Linked DNA regions of Caenorhabditis elegans. The protein of the gene in region 2 interacts with the protein of the main gene of each other region in a biochemical or structural test. Each region holds a gene or a part of one and is shown on either strand. Other genes may lie near its edges.

The links. Proteins that work in one complex are often made in the same cells at the same time.
Region 1: of the proteins of natb-1 (region 2) and syp-1, one has a biochemical effect on the other in vitro, tested with the Caenorhabditis elegans proteins (one study listed by BioGRID).

Annotation. Positions count from the first base shown.
Region 1 is NC_003283.11:16,402,274-16,406,033, reverse strand, and holds the start of syp-1 (uncharacterized protein), read right to left. Parts: upstream 1,761-3,760; 5' UTR 1,203-1,760; coding exon of another isoform or gene 888-1,202; 5' UTR 272-887; coding exon 1-271. Other genes in the region: F13A7.14 (BZIP domain-containing protein), read right to left, coding at 888-1,202, 2,159-2,659, 3,724-3,760.
Region 2 is NC_003283.11:7,982,016-7,984,965, forward strand, and holds natb-1 (N-alpha-acetyltransferase 20), read right to left. Parts: upstream 1,417-2,950; 5' UTR 1,403-1,416; coding exon 1,325-1,402; intron 1,276-1,324; coding exon 1,185-1,275; intron 1,134-1,184; coding exon 1,004-1,133; intron 957-1,003; coding exon 734-956; 3' UTR 642-733; downstream 1-641. Other genes in the region: F26D11.1 (Gluconokinase), read left to right, coding at 1-276, 430-622; abhd-12 (Serine aminopeptidase S33 domain-containing protein), read left to right, coding at 2,128-2,144, 2,213-2,334, 2,391-2,592, 2,639-2,881.

The DNA.
Region 1 (3,760 bases), 8.4 Mb from region 2:
TGCACGACTCTTTGAATACGTTAAGCTCCTTCTTTATATCATGCATTCGTTGCGACTCGGTTTGAACTTGAGAAGCCAGCTCGCGAGATTTCGCCGCCTGCTCATCAGTTTGCTCGCCTTTATCTTGCTCAGTCTGCTCGTCAAGCTTCTCAAGAACGTATTGCTGTGTGAGCATGATCTCATCGCGAAGAAAGCCTGACGATTGGTCATCAACTGGTGTCTCAATAAGTGCTTCAGTGGGAGCGTCAACCCAAATTGTGAAGTTATCCATTGCCAGAAACCTGAAAATAAATATTTATAAGCATTTTCGGCAAAAATTTATATTAAAAATTGGAAAAATCGAAGAAAAAAGATTGAAAAATGAAGAAAAAAACTTTGTAAAACGGTTTAAAATTTAAAGAATAATTTTTAAAATATTTTTTTTAATATGAGCGGAGGCCGCAAACACCGCGGCGCAAATTTGCAGATTGCCTACAGTAACTTGAGATTTTGTCAATGGAGCGCGTTTTGTTGCAGCTATTTTTTTCAAGATTATATGGTTTTTTTGCTGTAAAACATGACAAAAACTGCAGAAAACTTCGTAAAATTCAGGAAAAAAAGACGGAAAATTGAACAAAAAATCAGCGCTGATTTTGAATTGGTTGTGCTCCTTTGTGATTTCGAACATTAGCTTTTCATTGAAAATATAATTATTTATTGAAAAAAGTCCGTAAGTAAATATTTAAAATTGTCGTGTCAAGACCCTGTGTCCAGCTCCTCGAAATACAAGTAATATGATTTATTGTTTAATTGTGAATTTGAAAAAAAACATAAAAAGACGAATGTTACACGCATTGGAAATCCAAAAAAAAATATTCACACATTTCTATAAGTAGATTATTCATGTTTCACTTGAGATCATCAGAAATATCACTTTTCGAACTATTCGACAGATCACTCAACGAAGTATCATCATCATCATTGTAATCGTACACGGTGATCGGATCAGTATATCGTGGAGCCATTGGTCCAACAGGTCCCATTTGGCTGAACGGGGAAGGTGCTGGAGCAGCAGCAGAAGGAGCCGGTGGGAATGGTGCAGAAGTAGAGGGTAATGCGGTGAAGTTGAACGAGTGTGTGAATTGAAGAGCCGGAGGTTGTAGTTGGAATGGTTGAAGAGTTGAAGCTGTCGCCGGTCCAAAGTAGAAATTGCTGTTGAATGGCTGAAAATTTTTATTTATTTCCGAGACGTGAAATTTTGTGATTTTTTAAAATTTTTGTTAAATTTGAAAAGGTGTGCGCCTTTAAAGATTACTGTAGTTTTACGGAAAATGGGAATTTTATTTTAGATTTTTAAAAATTTATTCGGAACACTATGAAAAATCGATGAAGAAATTTTGAAAATACAGTAATCCTTAAAGGCGCATACTTGTTTTGCACTTTACAACAATTTTCGTGTCGAGACCGGCTACCGTAGGGGTTTAAGCCAAGAAATGCAGGATCTTCTGAAAACAAATGCACACTTCTCCACGAGGAGTACACGGGCCGCGTAAATCGACAGAACTGCTCTGACAATTTTTGGAATTTGAATTACCGCGAACTTGGCGCTAAGACACGCCCATTTTTCCGTGCCGTACTTTTGTAATTTTTTGAATTTCGAAGGAAATTCGTATTTTTCATCCATTTTTTTTTAATTGTGACACTTTTCATGTAGATTTTTACTCGGAGAAGGTATTTTTTTGTATTTTTGACGTTTTTTAGGAAAAAAAATTTGAAAATACGCAAAATTCCCTCTCCGAGTGGAAAATAACATGAAAAGTGTATTTTTAAGAATTTAAAATTTCTTCAACATCAAAAACGCAAAAAAAAATCGGCAAAGAAAGACAAATTTGCGTCGAAATCGAAAAAAAACCAACAGTGCCGCACAGAAAAATGGGCGTGGTTTCACGCAGTTTTTGTACCCCTCTAGGAGAAGTGTGCAGTTTTTTTTTGCTGGAATTCTTAATTTTAGTCCGTTTTTGCTAATTTTTAGCATTCAAATTTGCTAAAATTCTTGCTGAAAATCGCAAAATTTCGCTGAAAATCGCTAAATGTATAGTTTTTTAATCATAAAATACAATTTTTGACGATTTAATGCCAAAATTTGCGAAAATAGTCCAATTTCACTGCAAATTTTTACCTGAAAAACTGGCACCGAATTCTTCTTTTCCATCTCCAACTGCTCACATCTCTTCTCAAGCTTCTCACATTTGCTCCGATACTTTTCCATTTCCTTCTTAAATTGATCTCGTTCTCGGCGAAGCTTCTCCACATCCGACACGCTCGGCATATTTAAATTGAAATTTTCCATAGCATTATGCACATAATTTTCCCGTTCAATTCGCTCAGCAACTCGCTTTCTTTTCCGTTTTTCTTGTCGCCGAGACTCTTCGTGTTCCCATTTTTGTAGTGTAAATTGGGTGAACTCGTAAATCGAATCTTCACTTGGATATTGATTTTCTGGACTAGAACGATCGAGGTGAACTCGTCGCCTTTTGAGATTTGGTTGATCAAATGTCGCGTCAAGGTCGAGAGTTTCATCGTGATGAAGTTTTGGAGTTGTTGTAGTTGGTGGTGGTGGTGGAACAGGAGGTTCAGATTCAGTAAATCTATAGGGTTTTGGTGATGGACCGGGTTGTAGCTGAAAAATATTTGATTTTTTAAAAAAATTGGGTTTTTTATTTTAAAAAATTGAAAATTTCAGGTTGTTTTTTATGAGAAAATACAATTTTTCAGATTTTACAGAAAAATTTAAAAAAAAACATTTTTTTGGCTTTTTGGATTTGTATCGCGCTTTTGAATTGAAAAAAAAGGCATTTTTCTGATTTTTTATTGGAAAACTCGAATTTTTTTTGGTATATTTTTGTTGTAATGGAATTTTTCTGACTATTAACCATTTTTCTTGTCTTTTTATCGGGAAATTTGAATATTTCTCGATTTTTACATGATCAACTGGAATTTTTAAAGTTATTTCATTGGAAAACCCGGTTTTTCTGGATTTTTTCGTTGAAAAATCTAGATTTTCCGTTTTTTTTTGTTAAAAAATTGAATTTTATTCTGAAATTGGCTTTTTTTGTGTTTTCAGCGGAAAATATGGATTTTAATAGATTTTTAACTGGAAAATTCGAATTTTCCTTGTGTTTTCATTGAAGAAAATCAAAAATTTTCCGCTTTTTAGTGGAAAAACCGGATTTTTCTAGATTTTTCTTATTAAAACTGAACATTTTCTGGATTCTTCCGTGAAAAATCAGGATTTTAAGGTTTTTTGAGGAAAACAAAGAATTTTCTTGAAAAAGTCAATATTTTCTGGTTTTATAGAGGGAAAATCAGAAATTTTCCGCTTTTTTATCGGAAAATTCGAATATTTCTTGATTTTTACATGATAAACTGGAATTTTTTAAAGTTATTTTATTGGAAAACCTGGTTTTTCTGGTTTCTTGTTTAAAAAAAAAGAATTTTTCTCGGAAATTTGCCGATTTTTTTTGGATTTTCAACGGAAAATAGGGATTTCAATAGATTTTTAACTGGAAAATTCGAATTTTCCTTGTTTTTATTGGAAAAAATCAGAAATTTTCGGGTTTTTAATAAGCAAACGCTAAATTTGGCGAATATTTCAAACAAAAAGCCAGTTTCCGGCTGCTGGGAGGTGACAAAAAGGAGATTTTCGCAAAATTCAATAATTTTTATTAACAAATTCGCCCTTACCTCTGCATAATCATCATCGTCGTCGAAGAGCTCTTCT
Region 2 (2,950 bases):
TGTTGGAAAAGCTCTTTCTGAGAAGCTCAGACGGCCATTCAAAGATGGTGATACTTTCCATTCACCTGAAAATGTAGAGAAAATGAAAGCCGGCACACCACTGAATGATTCTGATAGACTTCCATGGCTTCAAGCTATTAACAACTACGCAAGACTCAATCAAGGATACGTTATCGCTTGTTCTGCGCTTAAAAGACGTTATAGATCCATTCTTTGTGAACATCTTCCCAATGGAGCCAGCGGAAGAGCTGTTTTCATTCTGTTGAATTTAAAAAGGCAAGTAATGTTCAGCGCGCAAAAAAATGTGGTGAAAGAAATGGGCAGAAAAGTGAAAATGGACAACAAACAACTCAAATTCGCACTCGCTTCCGTCCGCTCGTTTTCCCACTTTCACACATTTTCACGCATTCATCGTTTCATTTTTTGCAGGGAAGTTCTTCAGCAACGCGTGAATTCCCGTCCCGGACACTTCATGCCATCTACTTTACTTGATAGTCAGCTGGCTACACTTGAACTTCCGAGTCCCGATGAATCAAATATCGTCACTGTTGATGCGAATAGTGAAAATGTGGATCAAATTGTTGATACAATTGTAAAGACTCTGGCATTGATTTGTGAATGATTCTAGAAATCTAAATAATATAAATAAATTTAATAATTTGTCATAACTGACAAGACAACCAACACAATAAACATTAAACAATAAATAAATACTAAACAAAACAATCTAAAATTAATCCACGTCTCTACTGTGCACGAGATAATTCAAAGGAACCATCGCTTTCTTTTCAGGATCGCGAGAAAGCGACTTCCGCATATCAAAAGCATCTTCGTCCCTATCTCCAGTGTAGTATCCAATAATTTGCCGGTAGACGACATATCCAAGCTTCTTATACAATTCGATGGCGATCTTGTTCGAAACACGAACAAACAGATCGACGAAATATGCTCTACGACTGAAAATTCTTAGATTTTAATAAAATATTAATTTGCCATCACTTACGCTTCAGAAGTACGTTCCAAGAACTCCATCATGTAGGCGGCTAGTCCCAATCGACGAAAATTTGGAGCCACAGAGAGAGCAGTTACATGTCCGTGCCAATTGGTGTCGCGTCCTTCGATTTTTCCCATGACTGAAAAATTAAACTATTTCACATTTATGTTTCATTTATTTTCAAACAAACCATAGGCCATAATTTCCCCGTTTGGATGTTCAGCAACTTGGTAATACTCCGGATAGTTCATCATATAGTGCAGGTAAAATTGGAAGCCATACTGCAAAAATAAATATATTTAAATTTTTTTTATTTACTGAGCAATTTACCGTTTCAGTGTTGATATCCAAGTTCACGTTATTGAACTTGAACATATCCATAACGTCGAATGGCCGGAGAGTTGTCATTTTTACTCGCAGTTCTGCAATATATTGCAATATTGAAGGGTAAATTTAAGTGTTATATTAATCACAAAGAAATTGCATTACTTGAGAGAGTTAACAAATTTTAAATTCGTTATTTGCAAACAAAATGGGAAAATAAATTTGGCGAACGCGGAAAAGAGTTGAAAAAGTGCTAAAACGAGGTGGCACTATTAAAAACGGTTCAAATAAATTTCGTAAAGGGCATAGCGCTGTGTTGTCAGAATTTAAATTATTTTTGCAGCTCGTTGATTTATTTTTAAGCATAAAACAAGCTATTATCAGGCTAATTAAGTTAAAAATTAATAAAAAAGAGTAAAATTCCAAATTAATTTGCAAATTCCTAAAGTACGCAAGTTTAGTGCGCGGTGTTTGCGGACTTGTCCACCGTAGTCCGTTGAAAAATTATCCTCTTTCGTTTTTTGTGTTTCAAAAAATAAATCGGTCAGGCGGTCAGGCGCTCCTCCTGACCGTCATCAAGTACAAACAAAACACTAACAGGAGAAAAAATCAATAAGTGACTAGCAGGGTGAGTATATTGTGTATACCTCTGCTTCTCTCTTCCACTTTTCTCTTTCTTTTAAAGAAATTCCAGTTTTTTTGCTTCCATTTTCACTTTCAAGTACACTATCTAATATACCTCATTTTGTATGCATTCAGGTGACTTGACTACTCGAATGGAAGCGGTTAACTAACAAAATATCAACATCATGCTAGGCTATTTTATGTAAGTTTAAATTTAGGCATTTTTCCACATTTTAAAACTTGATTTATTAAACGAAAATTTAATTTCAGTGTACTTATTCAACCGCTACTACTCTGTATCACAATTCTAGTCCTCTCAATTGTCATCTTCCTTCCAATACTGGTATATTTTCTTCCACGCTACACACAGTTCATCTTCTTTCTCAATTTCCGTTAGTTTTTCTTTTTTATCTTATCTTTTATCTTTGATCTATGTTACCTTGTTAAGGACGTCTGCCGAACACCGATTACAATGATTTGGCGTCGAACAACGTTAAATCAATCGGAAGATCTCTTCATTTGCCTGGAAAAAGTGGAAGGATTGGTGTTTGGCACATTCTGCCCAACAAATTGAGTTTAGAATGGAGAACAGAAGGAAAACATCCGACAGAGAGAGATTTTGACGATATGATGAGGGATTCAGAGAATCAGTAGGATTTTCAAAGAATGAATTCAAAAAAAATCAATAAATTTCAGAATTATCTTCTACGCTCATGGAAACTCGTTCGATCGCACATTCTACCATCGTGTGGAAATGTACAATTTGCTCAGTGATTGTAATTATCATGTCGTCTGTTTCGATTATCGAGGATATGGAGATTCAGAAGGAACACCAACCGAAAAAGGAATTGTTGAAGATACAAAAACAGTATACGAATGGCTGAAGGAGAATTGCGGGAAGACGCCTGTTATTGTATGGGGTCATTCGATGGGAACTGGGTGAGTTAAATTTATTATTTCACTGCAATCAGAAATTTTTAAACTCAATTTTTAAAGTACTGAGGATAA